Linked DNA regions of Daphnia pulex. Each later gene encodes a partner of the first gene's protein in a complex. Links are inferred from orthologs where the notes say so. Each region holds a gene or a part of one and is shown in the gene's direction. Other genes may lie near its edges. The genes, in order: H/ACA ribonucleoprotein complex subunit 4-like and H/ACA ribonucleoprotein complex subunit 2-like protein.

The links.
Region 2: H/ACA ribonucleoprotein complex subunit 4-like (region 1) and H/ACA ribonucleoprotein complex subunit 2-like protein share a complex: the UniProt entries of both Drosophila melanogaster proteins name them as parts of the box H/ACA small nucleolar ribonucleoprotein (H/ACA snoRNP) complex. The link is inferred for Daphnia pulex from reciprocal best matches to the Drosophila melanogaster genes Nop60B and NHP2.

Annotation. Positions count from the first base shown.
Region 1 is NC_060025.1:6,905,647-6,915,743, reverse strand, and holds H/ACA ribonucleoprotein complex subunit 4-like, read left to right. Parts: upstream 1-4,054; 5' UTR 4,055-4,130; coding exon 4,131-4,143; intron 4,144-4,339; coding exon 4,340-4,479; intron 4,480-4,749; coding exon 4,750-4,966; intron 4,967-5,022; coding exon 5,023-5,138; intron 5,139-5,332; coding exon 5,333-5,582; intron 5,583-5,642; coding exon 5,643-5,803; intron 5,804-5,867; coding exon 5,868-6,107; intron 6,108-6,173; coding exon 6,174-6,277; intron 6,278-6,337; coding exon 6,338-6,482; intron 6,483-6,541; coding exon 6,542-6,679; intron 6,680-6,745; coding exon of another isoform or gene 6,746-6,748; exon of another isoform or gene 6,749-6,851; coding exon 6,852-6,908; 3' UTR 6,909-6,977; downstream 6,978-10,097. Other genes in the region: probable sodium/potassium/calcium exchanger CG1090, read left to right, coding at 67-296, 365-667, 742-843, 904-1,035, 1,110-1,250, 1,323-1,381; eukaryotic translation initiation factor 4E type 2-like, read right to left, coding at 2,430-2,472, 2,561-2,697, 2,758-2,910, 2,976-3,180, 3,247-3,299, 3,427-3,502, 3,567-3,595; chromatin complexes subunit BAP18-like, read right to left, coding at 7,005-7,278, 7,346-7,447, 7,511-7,571, 7,637-7,685; heat shock protein 83-like, read left to right, coding at 8,764-8,771, 8,835-9,126, 9,199-9,296, 9,414-9,895, 9,958-10,091. UniProt on the Drosophila melanogaster protein: Catalytic subunit of the box H/ACA small nucleolar ribonucleoprotein (H/ACA snoRNP) complex, which catalyzes pseudouridylation of rRNA. This involves the isomerization of uridine such that the ribose is subsequently attached to C5, instead of the normal N1.
Region 2 is NC_060026.1:11,292,451-11,301,149, forward strand, and holds H/ACA ribonucleoprotein complex subunit 2-like protein, read left to right. Parts: upstream 1-4,700; 5' UTR 4,701-4,833; coding exon 4,834-5,014; intron 5,015-5,075; coding exon 5,076-5,148; intron 5,149-5,214; coding exon 5,215-5,446; 3' UTR 5,447-5,525; downstream 5,526-8,699. Other genes in the region: eukaryotic peptide chain release factor subunit 1, read right to left, coding at 2,147-2,232, 2,304-2,451, 2,520-2,740, 2,815-2,944, 3,084-3,274, 3,345-3,495, 3,554-3,681, 3,744-3,919 and 1 more; exportin-7-like, read right to left, coding at 5,841-5,940, 6,009-6,399, 6,471-6,609, 6,669-6,791, 6,862-6,950, 7,029-7,158, 7,225-7,448, 7,513-7,660 and 4 more. UniProt on the Drosophila melanogaster protein: Component of the box H/ACA small nucleolar ribonucleoprotein (H/ACA snoRNP) complex, which catalyzes pseudouridylation of rRNA. This involves the isomerization of uridine such that the ribose is subsequently attached to C5, instead of the normal N1.

The DNA of each region.
Region 1 (10,097 bases):
TTGGCAGTCAAAAAATCTATTCGATTTTGTTTTAATGGTAACGTAATCGTTTTGGACTATCCAAAGGTACGAGTCGACCATTTTCCTGATGCTCTACGTGGCCTATTGTGTAATGATGGTCTACAACTCTCAACTGGAGCGATGGGCAAACACTTTGCCTATTCCTATTCCCGACTACGCCCGTAGACTTCCCGGTGGGGAAAACGCGTCGCTGATGCCCTACAAGAATCTTGACTCGGAGGCAGGTGGCATTAGTGGCCCCGCTGGGAAACTCTACACCGACGAAAGATCCCCTGGTAATGCCTCACACATCCAGGAAACTTTGTTCCGATTTTAACATTTTTCTTTGGAAATACTTCAATAGATTCTGTGAAATCTTCGATTGACGGAAATGTTGGTCCCTGTGACGCTGGAGGCACTTCCGGCCCTTCGATCAGCAAGATTAAAGAGGAGGAGGCAGAGCGATTTTCGCCGTGGGTACCACCAGTAGAATTTCTAGACCGGATCACGTGGGCCATCTGCCTGCCGTTGCGTGCTGCTGCTTACTACACGATGCCCAACTGCCGTTTAGAGAAATGGGGCAGTTGGTTCCTTGTTTCTTTTTTCATCAGCATGCTCTGGATTTCCATCTTTTCCTACGTCATGGTCTGGATGATCACTATTATTGGTTAGTAATATTTACTCATTCGAATATGTTTGTATTTATTAGACGGTACATTATTTTACTAAATTTGTGATCAGGTTTCACTATGGGAATTCCGGATACTGTGATGGGATTGACGTTTGTGGCTGCTGGTGTCAGTATTCCCGACATTCTAACCAGTTTGGCTGTTGCCAGAGAAGGTGAAAATGACTGAATAAAAGGAAAATTTGATACAAATAGTAATCATTCGTTCTCTTTAGGTTACGGTGACATGGCTACATCCAACGCCATCGGCAGCAATGTATTCGATATTCTCATTTGTCTGGGGCTACCTTGGTTTCTTCAAACGGCCGTCGTTGATCCGGGAAGTGTAGTTCGAGTCATCAGCAAAGGTACTGTACCACCGACACTTTCACCATTGCTCACGTTTACGGAACCATGAAGTATTATTCTGTTAAAAATGCAGGATTAACATATTCAACCCTATCATTGCTGTCAACCATTGTTTTCTTGTTGGGCGCCACTCATCTGAATGGCTGGAAGCTGGATCGCAAATACGGAGTTGCTCTTCTGGGGTGGTATTTGTTCTTCATGATCATCGCTTCTAGTACGTTTAAATTAGGTTTTATTCTAACTAACGCTGAATTTTGTATTAACCTATTCATAAATTTTACTCTAGTGTACGAGATGAACATCTTTGGCTACTTTAACCCGCCGGAATGTGACAGCGAATTTTGAGAAATGAAGCGCATCTATTCTAGGTGACCATCTTACACCAACAAATATCATCTTCTTGGCAACTCCAGTCATGCAGTATTTATAGGGAATCAATTCATGGTAACCTGGATTCAACAGGGAATGAAGCTGATATACAATCCGCACTATCTAGCTTACAAGCTGTTTCCCGGAGCTTGAACGGGCTCCGCAGCTCTCGGCCGCACATATATGGTCCTTGGTAGAGCTCAAAATTTTTATTCTACTAATCTATACAGATACAACTGCAACGATGTTTACATTCACAATAATATAAAATTATAGTTCATTTATTGTGTGGTTTAAAATTTTGTTTATTATTTTGCGATGGTCCGCCATCGTCCTTTTGTTTGTTTACATTTGATTCGTATTTCGGTGTCTCGACGTGTGCCAATTTGTTGATGTTAAATAAGTAAGGTTGCTTTCCATTTTCCTCTTTTGTTAATTTCAGTATTATATTTCGCAATCTATTTCACCGTGAAACCTTGTTTATCGTAAATCACTACTTACAATTCCGAATCGAAGTATCACCAGCAAAATTTTGACGTTCGTCGAGCGGTGAGCTACAATGGATGTTGATTTTTGATTTCCACTTTTCTCATTTAATATAACCGTTCATCACCCTATTCCACATACATTACGCATGTTTCTCACCTGAAAAATCTAGCGCATTTCTTAATTCTAGGCTGAATGTACTACTCCGTGTTAGTAGCATCTCAAGCTAATAAATCAACCGTCTGTCAAATGTGTGGTTTTGAGGAAAAATCAATTAACAACAAATAGTTTCACCACAAGCTCCCATGCTTTACAGTGTAAAGCTAATAAGTAATCATTACAACATTTGACGCTTAAGTTGGTTCTTCCATAAAAGTATTGAATAAACTCGTATTTAGAGATTATTCAACGAAGAATGTTAGACACATTTGAATCAAACTTTTATAAAGCTAGAAATAACAGTATCGGTAATGAACACCGTGACCAGGTCAACTTTCAACTTATTTATATTCCGCTTGAGATGTAAAATATTGTGTCTTTATCGGACAAAGACATCGGTATTCCGAAAACTGGAATTGTCCCTGGAGATTTGAAGGGAGAAGAGGTAGAGGAAAGAAAGAGAAAAAGATTATGAATTCTCATTTGAATGGCGAGACCACCATTCCGTACTTTAGAGAATCCGTGTGGTTTTTGTATTCAAGTATTGTGTTCGGTGGAAGGTTTAAGACTCGACGAAGTGTATCTCGAATTCGGTTGGTAGTAGCCTGATCACTTGCAATTCGATTCCATACCGAAATAATATCCTCCTAAAATATATATATTTATATAAATTATATGATTTTTAACACAAAAAACATTTTTCTTACAGCAAATCGAATTGAGACGACAGCTCCACATATTTCGTCGCCTACCATAAATTGTTCGCCTAACATAGCTAATATTAAGTTCTCCCAACAACGTGAGGCTAAACCTTTTCGAAGACGCACAATCCATTTACCACCACAACGATTGGCATCATCCTGTTGGGAAAAAAAAGTAGGTTAATAAACACTTCACCACCCTTATTATTATTTAATAATACAACCTCCCACATTGGTTTGATTCCATCTTTAAATAAATGAAAGTCACTGTGACCAGAGAGTTCACAAGGCCTGACCAGATGGCAATAGTATGACCAAAACTGTTCTACAGAAGCAAAACGTCCAACCATTCTTAGATTCTGATCAAAGCTTTGGGGTGCTGCATGTTTTCCAGGAGCTCTCCGACTAAACCACAAACAGTATGTGTATCTAAAAACAAATGGTATTTCTATAATTAACATGTACTAATAAAAGTAATATCATTTTCATGTGTACTGGAGTGGATGTTCTTCTCGAGGAACTTGAATGGGTTGCTGAAAAAAATTAACCTTTAAATTAGTAGGAAAAAATGGGTAAGTGAGCACATAAATTCGTCTATCGCAATTATCACATCATTAACATAGAGTTAATAGATATTACAATAATTTTTTGTGTATTATGCAGTTAATATCTCACCAAAATTAAATCCTTTTTCTTTCTTTCTTCACTGAATGAAGTTTCGTCGTCATCACTGTCTTCGCTGTTGTTCAACCTGTCGAAAAGCAACAAAGTAAACGCAAATTCTATTAAAACATGTATAAAATTTGAAAACTTACGCATCAAATTTATTGTTATTAAGGGCCATTTGTAAATAGTTTACGAAATCGGAGTGTTACAGTCAAATTGTTCACTTAATTTATACACCAATTTGCAGCATGTAGTAGAAAGACTAAAGAAAGAAACAAGCAGTATGTCCAGAAATGTTGTACAAATTTTAGATGGTGAAAACACTAAACAGTACCCACACTATAGAGTAGCGAAAAATTGCCACCAGTTGCCACCAGGTGACCTTCAAGAGGTTTTGGCGCCACACACTAGAGTACCCTTCCCAAAGCCAAAGCGCCACGGCCCACGGGAGAAAGATGTTATAGTTATTGTAACTTCTAATGTAATGGTAATAAAGAGATAATTTGAACCATTGAATTTTAAAATCAAGTAAAATATTGGAAATACATGTCATAGCAGAAAAAGTGACTTCGTGATTAATTTTTTTCCAAAAATAAGAATCAAAAATCAAATGGCAACGCTCAACACTTCCGCTCATTGGTTTCTTTTTTTGTAGCAGAGGTTTTTCAACACATTAGATCAAAGACAGGACTTCGAACCACGTGTGAAGCACGATGCATTCATCTGGTAAGCGCCATCACATAATATAAATTTTACAAGCTAGTTATAGGGATCGATTATGTGTTTTCACATGGAAAAGATGCATTGTAGTTTGCTGCACAAATAGTATGATTCGAAATTTACATTAATTTGGTTAATTCTGTGATCTACGGATTAATGTTGGTAACACGTGTCGGTTAATGTTAGCATTCCTGTGTTTCAGAAGTCCTAGGAGAGAAACAAAGTGGAAAGAAGTCAAGAAAGTCCTTGGGAGATATTCAAGGAGATTCAGACTTTGTGTTGGAGCCATCAGAAAAACCAGTAGCAAAATTGGACTGTTCACAATGGCCGCTGTTACTAAAGGTATGTTGTTAAATATTAAATTAAATGTAGATGTTCTCAAAATAATTTATTTTAGTATCTATCTATACAAGCATTATGCTAAGAATGCTAATGATTAATTTATCGAAAGTAGTGGACTGAAAAGACTGAAGACACTCAAAGATAATGAAGCATTTAAAACTAAATTCTTAAAATTTTTCTAGTTTGAAACTTGATCTTTATAGATATTAATTTTTCCCTTGTTATTTATTAAGAAATGTGAACATTTTCTAAATCATCTTTTTTTTTCAGAATTTTGACAAGTTAAACACAAGGACAAATCATTATACACCTCTTCCAAGTGGTTGTTCACCATTGAAGAGGCCAATTAAAGATTATATTCATGGCGGTTTTATTAATCTTGACAAGCCATCTAACCCAAGCTCTCACGAAGTAGTTGCCTGGATTAAGAGGATTCTAAGATGTGAAAAGACGGGTCATTCAGGAACATTGGACCCTAAAGTTACAGGTATGTTGATAGCACTCAGAAAATCCCATGGACTTTACTAATTGAATATTATACAGGGTGTTTGATTGTTTGCATTGATCGTGCTACAAGGCTGGTCAAATCTCAGCAGGGAGCTGGCAAAGAGTATGTTGCCATATTTAAGCTTCATTCTGCAGTTGAAGATAACAATCAGGTAGTTTCTTGACCCTTCTAGTTGAAAGCCTTATGCTAAAGATGCTAATGATTAATTTATCGAAAGTAGTGGACTGAAATGACTGAAGATAATTAAAGATAATGAAGCATTTAACTGAATTCTGTTAATTTTTTAAGTTAGAAACTTGATCTTTATAAATACTAATTTTGTATATATTTTTTTTATTTATTAAGATTCCTCGAGCTCTTGAGAAGTTGACTGGAGCTTTGTTTCAGCGTCCACCACTGATCTCGGCTGTTAAGCGACAACTTCGTGTGCGAACCATTTACGAGAGTAAATTTTACGAGTACGATGCCGAGAGACAAATGGGTATCTATTGGGTTAGCTGTGAAGCCGGAACTTACGTTCGTACCCACTGTGTCCATCTCGGTTTGGTGCTAGGCGTAGGAGCTCAGATGGCGGAACTCAGAAGAGTTCGTTCTGGTAAGCCAGGAAGTTTCTTTTTGTGTGTGTTCTTAAGATGAAGATTTTATTTTTTATAAGGTATCCAAAGTGAAAAAGAAGGGTTAATGACTATGCACGATGTAATCGATGCGCAGTGGTTACATGATAATCATAAGGACGAAACATATCTGCGGCGGGTTATTCGTCCATTAGAGGCATTGATGATGTCTCACAAGCGAATAATCATGAAAGACAGTGCTGTAAGTGTGTTAATATTTATCTATAATATTCTTTATAATAATGTGTTAAAAAAATATATAACAGGTTAATGCCGTTTGCTATGGAGCTAAAATCATGTTGCCTGGTGTATTGCGGTACGAAAATGGTATCGAACTAAATGAAGAGATTGTTATAGTAACAACCAAAGGAGAAGCAGTGGCTCTCGCCATTGCTTTGATGACGACAACAACCATGGCTTCATGTGACCATGGTATTGTTGCCAAAATTAAACGTGTTGTCATGGAGCGTGACACTTATCCCAGGAAATGGGGACTTGGACCTAAAGTAAAAATTGATATAGTTTACATTGGCGTTACTTGTATGTATATGTATGTATTTGTTTAATTTTAGGCTTCCGTCAAGAAGGGTATGGTGAAACAGGGACTCTTGGATAAGTTTGGCAAACCTAATGACAAGACACCTAAAGATTGGTTGACATCTTATGTAGACCTAAAGTATGTAATTCAACGCAGTATTTGTATCAAATTTTTCAATAATATTATATTTTTCTGTAGCGTTAAAAAAGAAAAGGTTGAACCAACTGAAGATGCTGAGGCACGAAAAAGAAAGTTAAGTGAAACGAGCGCCGTTGCTGATCCGTTGTCAGAATCCATGACGGAAACCAAGGAGAAGAAGAAGAAGAAAAAGGACAAAGACCGGGTAAGTGTTTATACTCTTGTGAAATAATGATGTCTTAATCATTTATGGATGATTTTCAGGAGCCGCAGGGTAATGAAAGCATTCTTGATGCCACCGTAGAATCGGTTCCTGAAACCAAAGAGAAGAAAAAGAAGAAGAAAGATAAAACAGCTGAAAATGAAGACCTTTCAATTGCAGTGGACACATCAACAATCAAGGTAAATTAAACTTGTCAATTAATTTTTTTTTTAAACAAAGGTGTCGTGATTATTTAATGAAAGTAGTGAACGGAATATTTCTGACGAAAATTACCTAAATGAAAACATACTGCAAATATTATTCGCCGAGTAATTTGGTATGCATTAGTAATGTGAACATATTTCTATTTAGGAGGAGTCTGCCAAGAAAAAAAAGAAAAAGAAAGATGTCGATCGGGAAGATGATTAATTATAATTGAAATAATTTGTAATATTATGTTTGCAAGAAAATTCGAAAATACAATTCATTTCATTTTTATGCTGTGTATTAATTTATCAGAAAGTTTCAAGATGTGACAACTTCATTTGCTCCTTCAAAATTTAACCCTTCAACATCAACTTCATTTTCAGAGGCATTTAACATGTTCAATGTCACTTCAGCTGTTGACTTGTTATTAATCATTTGGGGCTGTTGTTGAACAACTACAACTGCTTGCTGAGGACTTGAATTAATATTCTGGAGTGGACTTGGTTGAACAACTGGTTGGCTGATGACTTTGGACAAAGGAATACCTGCTGCCTCAAAAGTTTTTTTCTTCAAACTACCATGAATTTGTGTCCTAATAAATAGAAGCAAATAAAATTTGAAATTTGAACACTGACATATGATTTTTGCAATCAACTTACACTGTCTTGTCTTTAATATGTTCAGAAATCTTTTCAAGATCTTCTCCAAAGCGCTTAATGGAACTTCTCAACATTTCAATTTCATCTTCACTCCATTTTGACCTGTATAAGAAAAAATTAAAAATACAACAGTGTTACAAAAGTAAATTACTTTAAATTATTTACCCAGCATTGGCATTTTCTGAGGAATGTAGCTGCATGGTCAATTTCCCCAACGTACTGAAAGCTAAGAAAAATAATGGCTGAAATCACTCATTCAACAATTACCTACATACACCATGTGTATTTTACCTAATCCTGCAGCTCCAAATATATCGGCAACCTTATTAGCAGAGTTCATTCTTGTGCACTTTTACAAACAACTAACCCAGAAAATTCACCACAAAGTCAATTATTTGGTATAAAAAAACATAATTTCCCGTAGGGATTCTAGTCACAGTCGAAGGAGGCTCAGTTTTGACACGCCACCGCTGCAATTCAAACTGCAAAATTCAATTGCAGTAATTAGACACTTAAATTTACGTAATTGTGACAACAATCACGCAAATTTTTGTAGGCATTTGATTAAACAAAGAAATCTCTTTAAAATGGATCACATTTTACGAAGATATAATAGATTTATTTTTTAAAACAGCGATTCTAAGTCAAACGGGGCTCAGTTTCGAAACGCCACCGCTGCAATTCAAACTGCAAAATTCAAAACGCCACTAAACATTAACACAAAATTTACGTAAATGTCTTACAAATCACGAAAATTTTTGTATGAAAGAGATTAAACAAAGAAAGGTCTTCAAAATGGATCACATGAAGATATACTAATAGCTGTATTTTTTACACAGCGATTCAAAGTCGAACGGGCTCACTTTCCCGGCTTGATGTGTGTCAACCCAAAAGCTATAGTTTGCAGGCCTAACAAGAAGCGAATTTGGTGGCAATTTTTACGACTGCCCGGCGGCCTTGTATACATGTAGATCCCCACCAAACGTGAACAGAAAAGCGTCCGGTTTGTTTGTTTACGTTTTAAAGCAAAGTAAGTTTTACTACTGTACTGGTTTAGACAAACAAATTGGTTATTTACACATTTTTTGATATGCCTCAAGTCCATAGATATATGTAGAATTTCTATTTTTGAGTGTGATCTACCACAATTGACAAACATTTCTTACTGAAATATTTTCCTTTTCCTTTTTAGATGCCTGGAGAAGTTCAAATGGAAGACGAAGCTGAGACTTTCACATCCCAGGCCAAGATTGCTCAGCTTATGAGCTTGATTATCAACACCTTCTATAGTCGATCTCCAACTCCTCAAATGCCCTAGTCAAGATCCGTTATGAATCCCTGACTGACCCAAGCAAGTTGGACAGCGGTAAGGACCTTAAAATCAAGATTGTCCCCAACAAGAATGCTGACTCACTCTCATGGATACGTAAGTTGAGAAATTTAGTTCCTCCTATTTGAACACGAATTTGACTGTTCTGTTTCTCTTTAGTGGTATCGGCATGATCAAGGCTGATTTGGTTAACAACTTGGGTACTATTGCCAAGTCTGGAACTAAAGCTTTCATGGAAGCCCTCTCTGCCGGAGCTGACATCTCCATGATTGGTCAGTTTAGTGTGGGTTCCTACTCTGCTTACCTGGTTGCCGACAAGGTGACAGTTCATTCCAAGCACAATGATGATGAGCAGTATGTTTGGGAATCGTCAGCTGGTGGTTCTTTCACCATCAAGCCTGATCACAGAGAACCCATGGGTAGAGGAACCAAGATTATCCTCCACTTGAAGGTATGTTCTTTGTCTTCATTGGCATAATTTCCAATATGCTCATGCCTGTATTTTTTTTTTCATTATTGACAGGATTATCCGATGGATTACCTGGAGGAGAAGAAAGTCAAGGAGGTTGTCAAGAAGAACTCACAGTTCATTTGCTACCCAATCAAGCTATTGGTTGAGAAGTAGCGCGACAAGAAAGTGAGCGACGATGAGGCTGAGGAGGAGGAAAAGAAGCATGAGAACGACAAGAAAGTTTTACGAACAATTCAGCAAGAACCTGAAGTTGGGAGTCCATGAAGATTCTACCTACGCAAGAAGATCGCTGACCTCATCCGTTTCCACACTTCCGCCTCTGGAGAAAACCAGGTTTCCTTCAAGGAATACGTTTCCCGCATGAAGGAGAACCAGAAACACATCTACTACATCACTGGTGACAACAGAGAACAAGTCAGCAACTCCTCATTCGTCGAGCGTGGCAAGAAGCGCGGATTGGAGGTCATCTTCATGACTGAGCCCATTGATGAGTACGTCGTCCAGCAGCTCAAGGAATACGATGGCAAGCAGCTCGTCTCCGTCACCAAGGAGGGTCTGGAACTCCCCGAAGATGATGGAGAAACCAAGAAACGCGAGAGCGACAAGGCCAAATTCGAGGGTCTCTGCAAAATCATAAAGGACATCTTGGACTTCGCTCTTCAACAAACCAGCCCTACACTTGGGGGCCAGCAAGGCCAGCAAAATATTTCGATCGTAGCGTCTTCAGTCGGGAATCTTCGCAGTCACAGTTGAGCGTCCGCTTTGATCGGACAATTATTGATGGCCTGTAAGACATTGTCGTCTTGTTAGAGGCTCAACTGCATTCTTTGGTTCAAGCCAAGTCTTCCGTTATCGTCGATGTCCTTTACCGACCGGAATACCTTTTCCAGCCTGGCACGGAAGCACAGAAAAAGTGTGACAATGGCGGATTCATTCGCAGGTAAATTTGA
Region 2 (8,699 bases), on another chromosome or scaffold:
GTGTATACAACCGGTCGTTAATCAAAGGAAAATTATTCACAGATTTGAATAAATTGTATACCTTTCGAGCAAGGAGGAGGTGGTGGGAGTGGCCGCAATGGTATATAATCCAATTGTTGCAAACTGAAAGAGGCGCAGCCGCTAGAAAAAAAAATTTATATTTCCAACTTGACATCGGGGAAAAAAGCAATTTGACCTTTTTAACGAAGCGCATCCGCAGGATTTATTTTTATTTTTTTGCATTTATCGACCGACCTGTTGACTGGAAGGGGATGGATACAAGAAAAAACATCCAGCGATGGAAGGAGGGAATATAAGCGTGTATGTGTAGTTTGTTTCTCCGTTCAAAATGAATCAAGTCGTATATGAACCCATTTTCTTCTTGTTTATTGCGATCCCTTTAGTGCCGTCAAGTTATTCCAGCAGCAGCGCCCGATCGATTTTTTCTTCTACCCACCCGGATTCTATGACTATAGTGGTGTGTGTGGCGGGTAATCAAATATTTGTTGGAGATTCCCTTGATGTTGTTCGCTTGTCGCTTTGCACTTTGTTTTGTGATGCCCAGCAGCTCGCACCTCCGACGGAAAGAGATGGGAGGCCATAAACGAGTGAAAAAACGTAACAAAAATAATAACGTCAGCCGCCGCCGCCATTGTTAACAGTTAAATTTGGGGCTCATTTCTTCGGCGAATGCAGTTTAAATCTTTTCTGATGCCCTGAAATAATCCGGACGGCAAACGTGAATAACAGTTCAAATGAGTTTTTAATGGACTTGACATCAACTGATTTGCATATTTTGAATACTCGTGGAAATAATAAGCTTAATATACACGGCGCCGAGCGGCGCATCAGCGACGGACGAAAATAAGGGCGAAAATTTCATGCCCCAAATACGATTTTGTTTTGTTTTTGTATTCAAACGTCCCTGATTACCAATTTTCTTTTCTTTTTCCAGGCGCGTGAGCTCCGTCCTAACGTTTCATATCTCTCGCCAATGCCACGAAATTGGAAGTTACAGTCTAATTGAGTAAACATGACCAAGAAACTTTCATTTGGTATTTTTTTCTTCTGGAAAAAGAGAAAGTTGGACACATAATTTTCTTATAGGCAAATGTGGGTTTTACTAGAAATTCATCAAGGCCTACCGACACCGATCTGTTTTTCATTTTTCTTCTTCCCAAATTTGTGTGTTCCCAAAAAGTGTCGTTCACTTAACAAAAGAAAAGAAGAAATTATTAAGTCATTTACCTCAAAACTTTCTAAGCTGCCAACCAGAGAGCGGGTCCATTTTCTTCTGCCCAGCCACCACCTCATCACGACAATAAATAAATTTGATAAGTTCAAAACTTCCGTTCGAAATGAAGGTACTGGAAAAAAAAAAAATTTTAAACCAGGACAATCAAATTCCAACTCAAACCAACACCACGTGTCGGCAAGTGTGTATTTCACGGAGGTAAATCTTTCGACAAAACTCGTGTTCCACAAACTCAAAACGACAGAATGACAAAAAAAAAGTATGAACAATGTTCAGTGAAGAAGATTTTGTTTGTTTGTTTTTCTTGAAAGGAATAGTTAAAAAATACGCAAGTGTTGATGCAGCAAAAGAAAACTATGGATGGAGAATTGAAACACGAGCGTCCCCCCATTAATTTTTCATTTTTGTTTTATCGAAGTGACTTGTTTCAGATTCTAGGTAGGAAAACCCAGACGTCACTCGACGAGGAACGATGAAAGACGATCCCCGCTTGTGTTTGTGTGTGAATAAACCAGCAAACATAAATTCATTTCATATAAAGTTCTTGAAATTGCGGTAGTCAATTCATATTTCCCTACCGAGAAAAAAAAATTTCAAAAAAAATATGACAATCGCATAATTTCACCTAAGATTTCCCCTCCAGTCCAATGTAAAAATAGAAAAGAAAAAAAATAGAAGAGGAATTGATGCACTCTTGATGATTTCTTCCACATTTTTTCCCGCTCCGATTGAACAGGAAAAACAAGTTCGTTGCAGCGTTCAAGTTGGAAAGAAAAAAGTAACAGCTGAACGCAATCGACGGGTGTCATATGCAGGGAAAAAAACTTTATTTTATCCGTTGGATGCGTGATAAATGGTCCGAAACCGTTGATGATAATCCTAGAGGGTGTCTTAATAATCGTCCAAATCGTAGACTTGATCGTCCAGAGGGCCGTCGCCTTGTAAACTTTGCATATCCACCTTGTAGCGTAAAATGCCTGTTTCATTCAAAGAAAAGAATATTAATAAACAGGATCATGTAAAGGGTAGTGCAATTCAAAAGTCTGACCTCCAATGCCACCAAACCCTCTGACGAACTGGGAGCCTTCTTGGGATTTATCGGTGATGATTTCAAGCGTCGCACCAAACGATTTATAATTGTTTGCCAGCCACTCCAGTAGCGGCTGACTTTCTATCAATTCCATTTCGGTACCGCTCTAATGATAATAAAATTCCATGTTAAGACATTTTCTAAAATAATTATAAATAACAAATAGTTAATTACATCCTTGTCCGTGAAATGCGTGTTGTCTTTTTGCTGTTCGGGCGTTAAGTGCAGAACTTTGGTCGCTTCCGTACCGGGAATCTTGAGCATGTAGCGCATAATGTCCAAATTCTCCCAACAAATGAGAATTTCAACAGCGCCAAGTTCCAGTGCTTTCAGCGTATCGTCGACACCAAAGCAGTACTTGCCCGTATCCTGGCTGATTTCATCAAAGTATCGACCTACGTGAGAAGAAACATAACACCACCGTTAGGTTAACACATAAAAGGTAATTTAATCCAAAAAAACAACTAACCAATCAGCTTCTTTTCCTGGATAAACTTCACATTGGCAAGACTCTCTGCTGCAAGCTCGATTGCCTGGTTGAAGCCGTTTTCACCACCGTAAGAGATGTCGACCATCTTGATAATTTTGACTTGCAATCTCTATCAAAAGAAAGAAACCAGTTACAACTAGCGGGAATGAGAAAGGTAATACCAATCATGGAACTGAAATACGAGATTCTAGTCAGAGACCAAAGTCCAGATGATTTCGGTTTGTGAAATGTAATAACTGCTTGCTTACCGGATCGAACATATCCGATTGAGAGAGCTCCGTCTTGAAGTCAGCACTTCCTGCTAAGATGAGGCCTGCAGCCGTCACCTTATCGTTGGATATGAACATTTGAGTGGCTACCTCGGCCACTTTACGGACGTAATTGTGTCGCTTTTCCATACGTAAACGGGCGAAACGCAAGGCAGACTGACCACCACGTCCTACATAAACAGCGTCACATGAAATTATAGAATTCACAAAATAGCACCAATAATTAGAAATGATGCTTACCGTGCTTTTTGGGTAATTCGACAGTAAATTTATGTAAAACTTCTCTCGTGTTTCCTTGGAGTGTTCCAAACAACGCCCCGTTACCATCCATAATAATGAAACCAAATTTGTTATCGTCAGCTAACAATGCTGTCAAGGCTTCTGTATGGAACTGAATTCACTCATGATTTATCTTTGAAAACCTTAAAAATAACAAAAAAAAACCATACCTTGTTGTCACACAAATACAGTGATGTATTGATGGGCTTGAAAGGCTCAAAATCAATGTTCACTTTCTTCTCTTTACCCTCTTCTGTGACAATTGTTCCACAATATATGACCAAACCATTAGGGGGTACTGGCAAATCAAAGAAAATTATTAAGGTTAATCAAGAAACAAGCATAAATAACAACACATACCTTTGGCATACAGTTTTAATCTCTGTTGGACAGATGTGATGGCACCCAGGACAGAGAGCCTGTTTACTCGAGATTTAATATTGGAGGCAGTACCGAATTCATCAGCCAACATTTTGCTGATCCGAGCAATCTGATCTTTAGGAGGGATGATGAGCGAAATCATGCTTGTACCATTTCTAAAGAAGAAAGTGTTTCATTAAACTTTATTCACTTGTTGAGCAGTTGTTAAGCAACAGCTTGACATGCCCTGTCAATTACTGCCATAATTCTGAGACATGTTATCTCATGAGGCAAATTACCCTCTTGCAAGTTCCAAGCTTTTGATGAGTTTTTTGATCTTCCAGATCTCAACATTCCTATCTGCAGAGTTCTCCTCCATGACACTGGTTTAGGGGCTATAGGAAAGCAGCAAATAGATGAAACCTGAGTAAACCAATTACAGTTTAAATGAAAAGGTATAGTTTGTTAAAGTGGTCTTTATAGACGGTCGGCATGACAGAAAAATAGGAATTTGTCTATGACAGACGTGGTCACATCGAAAAACATGGCGACGACAGCTTTCTCTCAATATGAAATTCTTCATTTGCTCTTAAACAAGAAAGACAAATAGATAATTACCTCACTATAAAAAACAAGTGGGAATCTTTGTCGTGGACGAAAAAAAGGGTTTATAAAAATTACACGAGTTGCTCACGTAAAACACTTTCTCAGAACACCGCTTCACACCAGCACATGGGTCGTGGATTCCGTGATTTCGATATCGAAATAATTACAAGTAGGCTACGAAATCGATTTGATATTGGTCCACCAATTTGTCAAAATTTACCCAATTTTAAGTTTCCTATAAATTATTTGTCAATAAGAAACTATGAAAAGTATTATTATCGGCAGCATTTTTTAGTTTTTTATTATAAATGTCAAGGTTTCAGTTTACAAGTTGATGCTACGAGCTATTGGCAACGTCTAAATCCAGACGACGCGAAAGTCAAGAGCTAGGCAAAAAAATCGACGAGCTTGAAAACCACACGTGCTCATACTACCGTAGCTACTGCATTTAAGTTAACAGTTTAAATTTAAAACAAAAAGAAAAATGGCCAAGAAATCAAAGCAGGTTATCAAGGAAGAAGAAACCGATGCCATGGAAACATCACAGGTCGAGGGAAAATCAGACAAGAGTAGCTATGATGAGTTGATGAATCATGTCAGCATCATTGCTAAACCAATGGCTAGCAGGAAGCTCACTAAACGGATCTATAAACTTCTTAAGAAAGGTTAGTTAATTTTTTGGTTATATTTTCATTCAGTAAGTTCAAATATGTTTCTTGCTTCTAGCTGCCCCACACAAGGGATATGTGAGAAACGGCCTCAAGGATGTACAGAGAAGAATTCGACTAGGTGAAAAAGGGTAAATACAAAAAACAAAATCTTGTGATATTCTTAATGTGTTAACAAATTATTTTTCTTTTTTCAGGTTGGTCATTTTTGCTGGTGATGTTACTCCTGTAGATATTATGTGCCACATGCCTGCAGTGTGTGAAGAAAAGAATATTCCTTACATCTACACTCCATCAAGACTTGAACTTGGTCATTCTCTGGGACTGAAGCGAACATCTTTGATGGTGCTTATCAAAGAACATCCTGACTATCAAACTTCTTTTGATGAACTTGCTGCTGAACTTAAAACCATCCCTCCTCAATGTTAATGAATTCCTCTTTCATCCAAGCTCCTTCATCAGTCATACTAATTTGACATTGAAAATGATTACACTTTTTCAGAATTTGGATGCTTTTTTTTCAGAATTCACATTTTTACTCCATACATCACTGTCGACTCATTTCCTCATCTTGGTTACACAGAAAGTAAAGCAAAAAAAAAGTGACTTGGGTGGATGTGATACAAAATTAGCCTTGTTGCAAGCAAAAAACAACAAAAAGGTGGAGCATACGAAAGTGGGTTCAATACTTTCATGCAACACTGATACGCCTGTGAAACATTCCATGATGATAACTTGGTGTGGACTCTTCACTAATTGATGAAAAAGATAATAAACGAACGTCATCCGCGAAGGAACAAGAAGTTCGATTGAATGAGGTTTGCTAAGTCATCATGTCGTTGTTGGATATCAATGGGTTATTCACTGGTCCTTTCAACGATTCGTTAACATCTCGCCGGAAGAGTGATAGGTTTTGCGTAAATCTGAAATTTGTTGAATGAAGAAATATAGAATAATAACTTTTAAAAGGAAACAAAATTTACAAGTTTACCTGTCTCGGTTTTTGGCGGTGACATTCCTCTCGATTCCGTCCATCAAGTTGTCGAACCACTGAGCCATAAGGCTCTGCTTGTCGACTGGCTGACTGCGAATGATGGATTGACGCAATTGGCCAAAATAGTCTTCGTTCAACAAAATGAGGCCAAGCAAAGGACGGGACATGGAATACTGATTTCGGCATTCTTCAAACATAACGATGTTCAAGATACAACTCAGCATCTGTTGCAGTAGTTCTGGTCGGATTTCCATCAAACGAATGAGTTGCGCACCCTGCTGCTGTTCTACAACCTTTCGAGCCTTTTTGCCTTTAGCCGTCAACTGGCGAAAGACGTAGGTTACGATATGATCTAGCGTATTGCAGCAGCCCGTGCAGATCATGGTATCTATTGGTGGAATTTTCTCGTTACATTGAGTTCGATTACCATTCATTAAAATATTTACTGTTCAAATATACCTAGTGCAGTGAGGCCTTCTTGGACAGTCGAGAGAATGTATAGGAAAACATGCGGCTCTAACGAGCTGAGAAACACCATGTGATCTTGAGCAAGACACTCCAACAACACATAGTAGGTCTGACTCAACTTTGGATAAGCCTATTTACAGAAGTAATATTTAGATACTGTAATGTTAAACCAATAGGGACTTTACTTACTAAGAGATCACTTTGTGGTATAGACATGAGCATTTTGACGAAAGTGCCAAGAGCGTCGTCTAGGGCAGTATCGCCATAGAGACGGAAGACTCCGAAGTTAACATATCCGCCACACAAAGCTGCCTGTAATGCAGGTTTACATACGTTAGAAAAAAAAAGTTTCTTTTGAGAGACAGAATAAATTATTGTTCACCTTAAGCAGAGAAAAACACACTGAGATGCCTTTAAATTTTGCAGCGTAAATTTGTTCTTTGGGCACTTCAACACTCAAAATTCGACCACCTAAATGAAGGAATGAAACCGCAATTAATTTAGCTCGATCATAATCCCCCCCCCCCAAAAAAAAAAAAAATGTTATACCGTATGAGCAGAGAACTTTTGAGGCCTCACGGAATAGTAGGACACCGTTCGGGGAAGTGGAATCAAATTGCAACCGTTGACTCCGATTTTGCACCAACTCGGCAAAAAGCTTCAGCAATGGACTTGTCACCTGTTCGGATTTGCAAAATTTACAGAATTAGATAATGAATCAAAAAGCAACTTTGCAATTTTCTACCTGTGGCTGATGGTACCACAGCTGCAATGCTCTGAGATACACAGCCGCATAATCAGGATATAACCAATCAAAGAGCATCATGTAAGATTGCTTGGTATTAAAGGCGAATGCCAGGCCTCGCAGATCTCTAGCCAATCCAATAACACATTTTTGCGCCTCCTCGACTTGACTAAACATGGGGGAGTCCGCCTGTGTCAATAGAGCTCCTAGGGAATCAAATGCACCTATAGGAAAACGAGTTAAATTTAAAGAAAATGCACAGATTGTATATTAATGAATAAATATTACTGGCTAACGGTAACATGAACTGCTCAAAACGATCTTCGTCTTCACCCAAATCCACCAATAATAAGCGGCCCATCGATGTATAAAATGTTGTTCGACACTTCATTTCGCTAACGTCAACGTTTGGACCCAGGAATGGAAAATGTTCACTCTGCAAAAAGAAGAGCAATAGTAAGCGAAAGAAGTTAACCGGAAAGGATAACTTGTACTACCGTGTGGTTTTGTAAAATGAACTGGATCTCTTCAAGTTTAACCAGCTTACGTACACTGCTGTAACCAACGCATAGTTCATTAAGAAGCAAGAGAGTTTTGGCTACTATAGGTTCCCGATGACTCCAATATTTCAAATTCGTAATAATCTTTCGCACAAACACACTCAAGACCATAGACTCGTCGCGAAGACCTAATACATCGGAAAGCCCTCTATAGACTTTTGACGTCATCTGTACCTAGGACAAAGTAATTAAAAATAAAATTTTATGCTCATTATTTTTTGTTTTTCTTCCGACAGCAGGATTACTTGATCGCCAACGTAAATCTTGCGGAACTGTTCAAAGAAGGAAAGCATAGCTAATTCCAATTTTTCACATCCACCAGTAACTTGCAATCGACTATCGGTCAAGTTCATCAACTGTAAAACGCTGCAATACAAAATTTGATGTAAATCAAGACAAAAGTCTTAAGTCTGAAAACAAAATCAACAAACCGGCAAACTAATTCTCCATCCATCGAATCATGTTCATCACTCGAAGTGAAGGACACGCGACCGCCAATGGCAGCACCGATTATGTAAACTAGCCACGTTAATCGACCTACACAAAAAAGCGTGTGTTATTCAGACAATATCTCAATTAAACTGAAAATTCTTGAATCCTAACAAACCTTCCTGTATGGCCAAATCCACAGTAGTCGCAATAGGGGACCTGACAAGTTCTTGGAATGACTGCGCGGATTGTTCGAAGAGGCTAATGAGCAAAGAGCATGTCTTGGCATAATCCATTCGCATAATGACACTTATTTGTTCAAGCTGCTGTTGCACGAGACCCATATCATCGAGTGGATCTTCTAGACCTTCCCTCATAACCATGGCAACTGCTTCAAGTCGCGACTGAACATACGCTGAGGTCACTTCAGGCGTGTAGGTCTCAAGGTAATGCGGTTCGGTTGCTATTCAAGGGAAAACGTCCATC